Linked DNA regions of Mus musculus. The protein of the gene in region 1 purifies or fractionates together with the protein of each later gene. This does not show direct contact. Links are inferred from orthologs where the notes say so. Each region holds a gene or a part of one and is shown on either strand. Other genes may lie near its edges.

The links.
Region 2: the proteins of Wdr12 (region 1) and Bop1 purify together in Homo sapiens (affinity purification with western blotting; 6 studies listed by BioGRID and IntAct, with this or other methods). This does not show direct contact. The link is inferred for Mus musculus from reciprocal best matches to the Homo sapiens genes WDR12 and BOP1.
Region 3: the proteins of Wdr12 (region 1) and Pes1 purify together in Homo sapiens (co-immunoprecipitation; 7 studies listed by BioGRID and IntAct, counting the BioPlex papers as one, with this or other methods). This does not show direct contact. The link is inferred for Mus musculus from reciprocal best matches to the Homo sapiens genes WDR12 and PES1.

The regions. Positions count from the first base shown.
Region 1 is NC_000067.6:60,087,769-60,091,414, forward strand, and holds part of Wdr12 (ribosome biogenesis protein WDR12), read right to left. Parts: intron 3,347-3,646; coding exon 3,252-3,346; intron 1,591-3,251; coding exon 1,484-1,590; intron 389-1,483; coding exon 273-388; intron 1-272.
Region 2 is NC_000081.6:76,474,415-76,478,827, forward strand, and holds the start of Bop1 (ribosome biogenesis protein BOP1), read right to left. Parts: upstream 2,836-4,413; 5' UTR 2,808-2,835; coding exon 2,715-2,807; intron 508-2,714; coding exon 334-507; intron 1-333. Other genes in the region: Hsf1 (heat shock factor protein 1), read left to right, coding at 3,187-3,303. UniProt on the Homo sapiens protein: Component of the PeBoW complex, which is required for maturation of 28S and 5.8S ribosomal RNAs and formation of the 60S ribosome.
Region 3 is NC_000077.6:3,970,342-3,973,987, forward strand, and holds part of Pes1 (pescadillo homolog), read left to right. Parts: intron 1-283; coding exon 284-393; intron 394-2,855; coding exon 2,856-3,027; intron 3,028-3,107; coding exon 3,108-3,197; intron 3,198-3,646. UniProt on the Homo sapiens protein: Component of the PeBoW complex, which is required for maturation of 28S and 5.8S ribosomal RNAs and formation of the 60S ribosome.

The DNA.
Region 1 (3,646 bases):
AGAAACAGCTCAGTGGTTAAGGGCACTGACTGCTTCTCTAAAGGGGATTCGTGACACCAGGCATGAACACTTTACACACGTGAATGCATGCAGCAAATACTCAGACACATAAAGTTAAATAAGTAAATCTTAAAATATATAATCCTTTCTTTCTATTTCTGAGAGACCTCATAGCAACTAAGGCTTGAAGCATTTCTTACCCAATCACTCTTTTGCTACACTAAAATTAGTTCAATTTTAAACTCTTAAATTCTTTTTATGTAGAATCTTACCTTTTTTCACCCAAGCCACATCTTTCACAACATCTGTATGTCCCACAATTGTCATTATCGACTTTCCTTCCAAGGACCAGATCCGAGAAGTCTTATCATAAGAACCAGACAGGATCCTACAATGAGGGGAAAATGCTATAAAATACAGAATGACTTTGAAGCCCTGAAAACCAATCCTTTCTATGGCAATGACAAAGTAAACTATGAACAGTAAACCCTTCTTTTTATGAAGAACAAGATTTCAAAGCAAAGCAATAGGTCAGATGTTATACTAAAATATGGTATTTCACCTTTGTTACTGTAAAACTGAAAATGTCACCAATGCAATACAATCTGCTTATAAAGCCTAACAATCCTTAATCCCTGAAAACTATTAAAGAGCAAAAACACGGGTGGGGATGTAGCTCAGTGGTGGAATACTTGCCCAGCAAGCAGAAGCCTCTGGGTTTGATGTCTAGCATAGTAGTACACCTTTAATCCCAACACTTGGAAGACAGAAGCACGAGTTCTCTGAGTTCAAGGCTAGCCTAGTCTACATAGGGAGTTCCAAGATGGCTAAGCAGTAAAGCACTTGCTGCAAAACCCAATGGCCTGAGATCAGTGCCCAGAACCCACATGAAGGTGGAAGGTGAGACCCAACTTGATAGAGTTGTTTTCTGCCACATGTTTTACACACATGTACAATGGCACGACCATGACTGACACACACACACACACACACACACACACACACACACACACTTCACAAAGCAAAATACCTAATAAAATGAAGGCCAGAAGTAAGCTACCAGTTAGGATGATGATCAGCTGTAGGTATTTGCTCTAAGATTAGCATTCATACCTCTTTGACAGCAGGCTGCCCATGTTGGCTCTACAGTAGTATGTCTGCAACTTCATGGTAGCAGGCAGGGATAGCTATAAAAAATTAAATTTTCTCTTCCATGAAGATATCTCTGGTCTTAAATATCAATATCTGCTGACTTATATAGACTATAAAGGTCATGCCACAACATTTTGAAACAAAGAAACCTACTAATAAACACTTGTTTTCTTGAATACACTGGCTGCAAAAAAGCCAATTTGGTGTGGCCACCAACATACACAGCTTGGATTTATTTTTATGAAGAAAAAGAGACCAGAGAAGTAGTCACATGGTGCATGGCAAAGACTGAAGGAGGTACAGAAGAGAACAGCATATCCCCACGGCATACCATTCTTCTGCCCCTTCAATTGAGCTGATCCAGTCATCATGGAACATGCACTGCTCTGGCTGGGGTGCGGTGTACTTTTCCACATATTCTAGTTCCACAACCTCTTCCTAGTCACAGAGAGAGTAGAAAATAAGTCAGGGACAGTTTTAAAATATTACCTTGAAGACAGAAAATATGGGAGCCATTTAAAAGTTAAGATTTCAGCTTGGTGTGGTGGTATACCCCTTAATCTTAGTACTTGGGAGGCAGAGGCAGCTGATTTCTGAGTTCAAGACTGGCTTGGTCCACAGTGCAAGTTACAGAATGGCCTGTCTTGACACTCCCCCATACCCCCTGCACCCCCGTGCCCCCTCCCCCTGCAAAGACTGGCTAAAATGTTAAGTATGCTCTTATATTCTATAATATCTTAAAATCACAAGATTTTATAAACAATTACAAATTATATTTTAAACAATTTTATTACATTAATCTATTTTGTGTGTTTGCACGCATCCATGCATTCCACAGTGGAGGTCAGCGGATAACTTGTAGGAGTTGGTTCTCTCCTTCTACTATGCGGATCCTAGAGAGGAACTCAGGTCAACATCAGGCTTTGTAGCCAGCGACTTTACTCAGTGAGCCATCTTGATGGCTCCAAATCTCTCCCCCCACCCTCCTTGACAGGGTCTCACTATATAGCCAGGTTGGCCCAGAACTCATAACATAGACCAGGCTGGCAATGAGCTTACAGAGACCTGCCTAGTTCTGCCTCTTGAGTGCTGGGATGGTACCATTACTTATAGCTGTATTCTTTTTGGTTTAGATTTTATTTATTTTGTGTGTATGGGTGTTTTGCCTGCATGTATGTCTATCATGTGTATACAGTATCCAGGAAGGCCCAAAGAGAGAGTCAGATCCCCTGGGACTGTTACTGACAACTGTTAGTCACAACATGGGTGCTGGGAACTGAGCCCAGAACCTCTCAAAGAGCAGACAGTGCTCTTAACCACTGAGCCATTTGTCTAACTCCTAGTGATATTCTTTTTTAAAAAAAAATGATTTATTTATATGAGTACACTGTCGCTGTCTTCAGACACACCAGAAGAGAGCATCAAATTCCATTATAGATGGTTGTGAGCCACCATGTGGTTGCTGAGAATTGAACTCAGGACCTTGGGAAGAGCAGTCAGTGTTCTTAGAACTGCTTATCCATCTCTACAGCCTCTGATATTCTTAATTAAAAAAACATCAAGGAAAACTAAAAAATTACAGGGGAGGTATCACAATCACTGTAATCTAACCCACATTTTCTAAGATGTGCAATTATGCTGTACTCCTGTTTAGCAGTATACATATACTTATTCCTTTTCTTACTAATGCTTTCACAGACTTAAAGACTGTATCAACTCCTTTGCATTTTCTTGAATAAAATACTCTTAGAGGAGCTCTACAAGATGACTATATAGAAACATAAATTCAAGTTTCTGGTGAGTGGTCAAAGGCGCTTGCTGGGAAGCCTGAGGTCCTGAGTTCAATCCCTGGGACCCACAGAAGAGAACGGATTCTCACCAAATATCTCCTTACCTTCACACACAGGTTATGGCAGCTACACATACCATACCATATCATACCATCAATCAATCAATCAATCAATAAGTAAATACAATTTTAAAATGTTTTCTAAGACTCCTAAATGTTGAAAACAATTTAAACTAATTCCATACGGATTCACTCATAATATAATATTTTGTAATGCGTTAAATCAAATAGAAGCAGTGCTCGGACTTACCGATGAAATGTTCTCCAGTTCCATGTGTTTGACCAAGGGCACTCGAAGAAACTGGCCCTTGATAAGGAAATCAAACTCGACATGCTTGTGGAGTTCTGAAAAAGAATTAGGGCCTTAGAATATCCTTGCCGAATGTACGAGAACCCCCACGCAATCAAGTACACAGCACCCACTGCGGCCTCAGTTACTCCACAGCTTCTCCTGGGACATCACACAGATATTACATCCTAGCATACTGCATGCTTTTTGTTTGTTTGTTTTTGAGTTAGGGTCTCTGTACTGGAACTCACAGATGTCCACCTGACCTTATCCTGAGTGCTGGGATCAAAGGTGTGTGCCACTATGCCACCTGGCTACATGACTTTTAAAGAACCAATATATTTCATTCTGTTAGC
Region 2 (4,413 bases), on another chromosome or scaffold:
CTAGCAGGAGCATCCCATCTCAGGCTCTGTCTCTAGAAAACTCAAGACGATCCCTAGACCAGTGTCAGCCCGTTGTCCCATAGAGGTGGTCTGAGAATTGTCTGACGAGCAAAGACATGAGCACGTGGGCATTCGTCATTCTCAGGAAAGGCACAGACAACTGAGGTTACAAACCCTGGAGCTCAAATGTGTGACGAGGGACGGATAGAGGACCAGGTTCCCGAGGACACCACGAAGGGGACAGTGTGAAGCGGACAGCTCCCAGGCAGGCACTTCCTCTTTCTGGCCATCCTCATGTGCAGGAGAGCCCATGGAAGCTGGTCCCTCACCCACCTGTGCCAGCTCCTCAGAGGTCTCCTCTGCCCTATGGTTGTCTTCGTCACCGCTGGATCCGGCCACTCCTTCAGTGTCTTCCTCACTCGAGTCACTGCCCAAATCTTCGAGGCCTGAAAACACACTCTCCTCGCTGTCAGAGAGACTGGAGTCAGGATCGCTGAGGAGAGGAGGCTGCAAGGAATCAGAGGGTTTAATAACTGCCACCTGGAAGCAGGTGCCTCTGGTCACACACTTCCGTCTGCGCCGAAACCACTCACCCGGCCTGGAACCCTCCTCCTCTCCTGCCTCTGTGGACAGAACCTGCCCTCGGAGCAGACACACCAGTCCCCAGAGCCGTGCAACAAACAGAGGGAACCTTTCAAGAACACACTGGCTTTGTGGGGATCAGTTTCTTCTCACTGTGCCACCAAAACCAAGTTTCCTCCACGGACACACTCCACACCCTACTGTCACCTAAGGGTCCTGAAACTGACACCAGCTTGGAATGGGACCCTGGGCCTGGGGGGGATTAGAACTCCCTGGAGGCTCTGACCAGCTGCAACAGGAGGCTTCTTTACCCTGACGACCAGGACCAAGCCCTGACGGACAAGTCGGAAAGCTGAAGATTAGCAAGATAAGCCTATGTGTTGGTTTGAATGACAAGAGCCCCCCACCCCCCTATACGCTCATACATTTGAATGTTTGGTTCCCAGGGGATGGATTGCTGAAGAAAAATTAGGAGGCGTTGGTAGGTCACTGGGCGTGGGCTCTGAGGCTTCAAAAATCCACATCAAGCCTAGAATCCCTCCCTCTTCCTCTCTCCCAGCTCATCAAGATATAAGAGAAGCTCTTAATTGCTGCTCCAGCACAATACTCTCTGCCATGGTGGTCAAGGACCAACCCGCTAAAACTGCAAGCAAGCTTCCAAGTAAGCTCTTCCTTTGATAAGGTGCCTTGGTCTTGGTGTTTCATCCCAGTGCCAGACAAACAAACCATCTGCTGTCTTTTTTTTTTTTTTTTTGAACAGAGAATCCTGTGAGTACAGCCCTAGAGGCCACTTTACAACGAACACAATAAGACATTCAAGCATTGTGAACAGTTTTCTATCACTGACCTCCAAAAGTTGAACAAGTACTTGAACACTGGAGGAAGCATGTGACTGCACCTAGTACTCACACTGTAGACCAAGCTGACCTCGAACTAACGGAGGTCATCTGTCTCTGTCTTCTGAGTGCTGGGATTAAAGATGGGTGCCAATGCCGCTGGCTAGTTCTTGTCTACCTGAGTGGCCTTCGCTGCCAATCATCACAGTGATCACCTGAGTTTCCATAGATGTCACACTGACATTCTCTTATTATTGACATCTCTAAAACTACGCTACTTGTCATACTAACAAGTAAAAGTACTGCACGCAGTTAGGGCATAAACAACTGACTATTAAAGGCTTACTGCCTAGAACTACACAGAGGGAAAAGCTTAGGGGCGTTTCATAAAACAAAGGGACAACTTACGTAGTGGTTCTCAACCAGTGGGTCACAATCCCTCTGGGGCGAGCAACCCTTTCATAGACTATCCTGCATATCAAATAATTACGATTCATAACAGTAGCAAAATTACAGTTATGTTTTCTTTTTGGTTTTTTCGAGACAGGGTTTCTCTGTGTAGCCCTGGCTGTCCTGGCACTCACTTTGTAGACCAGACTGGCCTCGAACTCAGAAATCCACCTGCCTCTGCCTCCCAAGTGCTGGGATTAAAGGCGTGTGCCACCACCACCCGGCAAAATTACAGTTATGAAGTAGCAGCGAAAATGATTTTGTAGTTGGGAAATCACCGCAACACGAGGAACCGTATTAAAAGGGCCACAGCATTAGGAAAGTTGAGAACTTTGAGGATCCAATTCAGTGGAGTCAGCTGTGCATGCCTTCTACCACCTACATTTGATGAATGTAGCAAGCCTACTGAGCTTAGCAACATGGACTAGCAATGGTTCCATGACAACCAGTTCTGGATGCCCTGGGTTCCAATCAGACTTCCATAATCTCAAGTCCTCTTTTGATTCACAACACACCTGACATGCTGGCTTGGTAGCACAGCACGAGCGCAATTACAACCTTTCCCAGGACAGGAAGCACAGATGGAAGGTCCAGAGACTATGGTGAGGGGACTCTTAAAGGTCTCTCCCTTAACACGGTTCAAGCCACAGAACTATCCCCCGGGTTCCAGCGCCCCTCGGCGCAAGTAATGTTCTGCTGAGAGTTCCAAAATAACAGCCCAGACTGGACGATCAGGCTCTAGGCGACCCACACGACACTACACGCTGCGCCACGGCCCGGCCTCCCTGGTCTTGCCAAGTGCCTGCATGGTTCCCAGAGGGATGCTGTCCGCTACTTGGAAGTTACCTCTTGTATCTGCAGCTCCTGATCAGGTTCCAAACGTCGTTTCCCCGGCAGCGATGCCGGTGACATGTGGGGCTTACCACACGCCCCCGCCATGCTGCGCCGCGCCGGCTACCGATCTACTGCCGCTTCCGGCAGCGGGAGCGCCTCGTGTGCCCCCAGCCAGGCTCCGCCCTACCAGGCTCTGATTGGTGAGCAGCCCGGGTGAAGCCATCTTGCGCAGGCGTAGGGTGCGGCGCAAGGGCTGGGCCGGCAAAGTAGGCAGGGGAGATCACGGCGCCTGCGCACAGAGGCTACAGGTCTGGCCCTAGCGAGAGCGCGCCGGTCGCAAGATGGCTGCGGCCATGCGAGGCCTTGCTGTGTGTGCGCAGCGGGCGGCGGAGCGGCCCGGACGGCAGGGGCAGCGACGACACTAGCTCAGCCTTCAGCCACTCTTCTAAAAGGCCACCCCAGCCTCTGCCTGCTTTCGTCCGAGATGGATCTGGCCGTGGGCCCCGGTGCAGCGGGGCCCAGCAACGTCCCGGCCTTCCTAACCAAGCTGTGGACCCTCGTGAGCGACCCGGACACAGACGCGCTCATCTGCTGGAGCCCGGTAGGAGCTGGCATGGGCCGGAGCGGCCTTCGAGGGAGGGTCCTGTGGCGGGAGGGGACCTGCTTCGGAGAAAGCGGCCTGCGAGTTAGTCGGGCTCGCCCGGGTTCAGCCATCCTGGCATCCTAGAGGGAGGACGCCGCTGTCTGGGGAGGAAGTGCGCCCCGCCCCCAGAGCCACTCACGGAGAGTAGGCCGAGACCCCAAATCATCCTACATTTCACCCGGACAATAAGGACGGGGCTTCCAGTACAGGGTCTTTGCTCACAGAGAAATAGTTCCCAGAGTCCGTCTGCGTTTCTGCTTTTTAGGCAATCATTCAGAATAAGTGGAAGGCCTAAGGAATGCATGAGAGAAGAGCGAGAATAGGAGGATGTGGAGCCTAAGCTCAGCCCCGATAGTCTCCAGACGCCAGAGCAGTTTTGCCCGGCCCTCCAAGGGCCGTGTCGAACCCTGTTCTGTTGCCTGGCAGCGGACTGTGTACACCGCACACCCTGCTGGCCCTGCATCTCTGGCTGGCTTGCAGAGGTCGTTCCGTGTTTGTGTTAAGTTGGAAAGTAGAATCTGCTGTTCACATGTGGATTCTGAGGGCCAGAGCGCGCAGAGCTAGCCGATGGTGGTGGCCTGAAGACAGGCCACCCTGATTCAATGGGAACCTTTGGAGGGATGGAGGCGGCTAGGTGCCACCACCTTGACCTTCTGCAAGCCAAATCTGGCGGGTCTCTCGGTCTCTGCGGAGCACTGCCCCCTCGCACAAGTTTCTTAAGCTGGCAAGAATGGAGAAAAGGCCTGGGTGGCAGATGGAGGCCAAGGCTTCTGGCTCTCAGTTGCCTGTTTGTTTAAACTCTGCTCTGCCTAAAGGGTGTTTTGGGAATAAAGAGAAGACTAGAAAGCACGGAACTTCACTTTTCACGAGACGGTCTTTGTGATTATCCCATGGGCTATCCGTGGGCCGCGTTGTTTTCCTGAATGCCATATTCAGTTCACAGCCTGTCCTGGATTTCATACACCTGGGCAGAGAGTATGATCTTACCTTTCTATCTTTCCCCAATTTACCCCCCTCTGTTTTCTTTGACTGAAGGGGAGCTTTCTTACCTAGGTCCAGTAGGACTAC
Region 3 (3,646 bases), on another chromosome or scaffold:
CCTCAGTGCAAAACAGCTGATGTGCCTTCTCATCCCAGGTAAATGTGGTGTCAACATAGCCTTGCATCAGAGGCGGGGCCCTAAACCACCTCTGGTCATTATCATGGGTCTAGAGCTCCATGCAATGGGCTGTTTGGCATTCTTGAGCTGAGGGGCCTGTTGGCCCAGGCAAACAGGTATGACCAGTTTCAGAAAGCATTGAGAAGACCCTGCCCCATGTTCATCCTCCATAGAGGAGATGCTCAGAGGCCCTGGCCGAAGCCTCATTGGTCCCTTCTTCCAGGTGTTTGTTCGGAAGCTCCGCAAAGCCTATGGAAAGAGCGAATGGAATGCTGTGGAGCGCCTGAAGGACAATAAACCCTGCTACAAACTTGACCACATTGTCAAGGAGCGGTGAGTCCTGCACCTCAGAATGCTGCTGTTGCTGCTGAGTGCTGTCCTAGTGTTAGGGATGAAATGGGCTCAAGACCAGCACTTGACTGATAGTGCATGTCCTCTTAGAGGAGTTAGACCAAAAGCCAAGCTAGCAATCAGTCCTGATTGTAAGTAGCATTGGTTACAGTAAGGGTTGTAAGGCAGCATGGAGAGGGCTTAGGTGTATGGTACAATTGCATACTCAGAGAGGTGTCTGCAAAATGACCTATTTGGGGCAGCCAGGAATACACTTCATGAGCAGAGACAGCAGTACCTTCAAAGGCCCCATGGTGGAAGAGCTGGAGCCACTAGTTCCCATACTACAGACTTAGAAAGCATGGTAAGAGAGGTCTGGTCTTAACTGTTTCTTGCTCAGCCTTCCAAAGACCCCTCCCAGTCACTAGCTGATCAGTGACTTCTGCCTTTTCTGGGGAATTGGGCAAATGCCTGAAGACCCTTGTAGTTCCTACAGTTTGGATGGAAGCCAGCATTGGTGCTAAATATTCTTCAGTGTTCATAATAGTTTCCACAACACTTTGGCCTGGAACTAATTAAGTGTAGAACTACTAGGCTATTATCTCTGTTCTGTGCAGTGGTCTAGGCACACTTAGTTCCAGAATGAAGGGGCCTAGCTTCCTTCCTGGGATCTGGAGGGCCTTGGCCTGGAAGATAACAGTTGGTATCAGGAACTGGATGCCAGAGGACAGGAACTCCTGAGCAAGTACACGTTACTAACAGACATTTTGGTAGCTCCTGTCCTGCCTATGACATGACCTTTATATGGAAGAGATAGTGGGTGTGAATGAACCCAGAACAAGCACCTGGGTTCATTCACAAAGCAAAAAGTCTCCTTTACCAGAACCAAAGCCGGGTGGTCTAGAAGAGGCGTGTGCTTGACCTACAAAGGGCCTGGGGTGTTAGCTTTGTCTACAGAGTAGAAAGTTAGGAAACTTTGAGGCACCAAGGGGGCTGAAGAAGGATGCTTCCTCTGCCTCAGGAACCTAGGAAGCTGTCCCATCACCTGCCAGGTCCCTAAGGCTTCCCTTCATCTCTGCCTGCTTTTGAAGTCCTGGCAGCCCTCTCAGTTGTCGTAAGCAGTGTTGCCTGTGCCCTTCAGAGCCCTTTATAACATGGCAGGGCAATCTTAGTTGTTGTTGTTAAAGACAGGGTTTCTCTGGAGTTCTGGAACTTGCTCTGTAGACCATGCTGACCTAAAAAAATCTGCCCTGCCTCCCAAGTGCTGGAATTAAAGGTTTGAATGGTTTTTTGAGACAGGGTCTCACTAGCTCTGACTATCCTGAAATTCATTGGCCTCCAGCTCCCAGAGATCGCCCTCCCTCCCTCCCTCCCTCGCTCCCTCCTTCCCTCCCTCGCTCCCTCCCAAATGCTGGGATTAAAGGTGTGCTCCAGCACACCTGGAAAGACCTTTTCTCCCAGTGAGCCTTCCTAGACTGTGGTTTAGATGCTGGCAGCTCTGGGGATGCCGAGCTTGAGGAGGGAAACTGAGTCCTGCATATTTGTCTTTACTCGGTGTGTTTAGAGCCACAAGAGGTGGGTGGATTGGTGGTTTGATTTTTGAGATAAGATCTTATAGTGTAACCTAAGCTAGCCTGGAACTCAGGATACTTCTGCCTCAGTCTCCCAAGTGCCAGGACTGCAGGTGTGCACCACCACAGCTGCTTAAAGACACCGTATTTTAAGTCATTTTTGTTCAGCAGTGCCTTTTTCTAGATAAAGCTGGAGTTAGATGAGGCCTAGTGACCCAGTTAGGGTCACAGCTCAGTTCAGGTACCACGACTTGAGATGGAGTGTCTTTTGTGTCCCACACTTCTGTCCCTTTTTTTGGAAACCACCAAAGCAGTTGTGCTTTGACACCTTTTGAGACAGGTAAGACCCTATCTCAAAAAATCATTCAATCCCAGCACTCTTGCCCAAGTGATACTTTGTCTGCTTCTTCACTCACCACGGCGATCCTGGAAATCCGTGATTACTCTAACTGGACAGGGTCCCAGTTAGAGATGGATCTGTCAGATACATGCATCGGACTGCTGAGAAACGGGAAGACAAGACCACCCAGGTGCCAGTGCGCCTGGGGAAGGAAGCCCACTTTCCCTGGCCTACTAGGTCGACTTCCCGTTTTTCCTTTTTCTCTGTGGGCCTTTCCAGTTTCAAGTAGAGTCAAAGAGCCATCAACTTGGTGTCCTCGTTCACAGAAGGTAACATGGGGAAGGTTCCTGAGGTCCCAAGAGTTCACTGGAACTTTCTAGTTTTCAGTGGCTACAGGATTGTTTGCAGATGCATGGCCAGCTGTGGGAAAGTTGTTGCTATCACCATCTGAGGAAGTAGCTGTGGCAGTGCCTAGCTTGGGTGTCAAGGCCTCTGGATAGAGGGCCTTGGAACCCAATGGAGTGGGCATGAATGCTGCCCTCTCCACCCTGCAGGTACCCCACATTTATCGATGCTCTGCGGGACCTCGATGATGCCCTGTCAATGTGCTTCCTCTTCTCCACCTTCCCTCGGACTGGCAAGTGTCATGTGCAGACCATTCAGTTGTGCCGTAGGCTCACTGTGGAGTTCCTGCACTATGTCATCACTGCCCGAGCCCTGCGCAAGGTGAGCTGAGGCTCTTCTGGGGAGCCCTGGTCCTGCCCTGTCACTCCTTGGCTTTCATGCTGTTCTCCCTCCCTCCCCAGGTCTTCCTGTCCATTAAAGGCATTTATTATCAGGCTGAGGTGCTGGGTCAGCCCATCGTATGGATTGCACCCTATGCTTTCTCCCATGATGTAAGTGTGCCTGTTGGCAGGGCTTTGTGCTGTTTCCTGGAAAGGTGTTGGTGGGGTGCTGTCTTGGAGTCTAGCCCTTGCTTGGTTCCTGATTATTGGCAGCTACGCGTGATGAGAGCCAGGGACAGAATAGGGACTATGCTCTACAGCCCAGTCGGTCAATAACCCTGATCAGTCACAGTTCTCAGTGTGATATGAGCATAGACGCATAGGCTAAGCCTGACTGTCCACTCCAGCACCCCTGCTAGAGCAGTGCTTCTCAGCCTTCCCGACACTGCCATTCTTTAACAGGCTTCCTCATGCTGTGGTGACCCCAACCATAAAGTTATCTTTGTTGCTACTCCATAACTAAATTCACTGTTATAAATCATAATGTAAATATCTGATATGAATATGGTCTTAGGTTACCCACACATTGAGAACCGCTGTGCTAAATGGTCTTGGACATG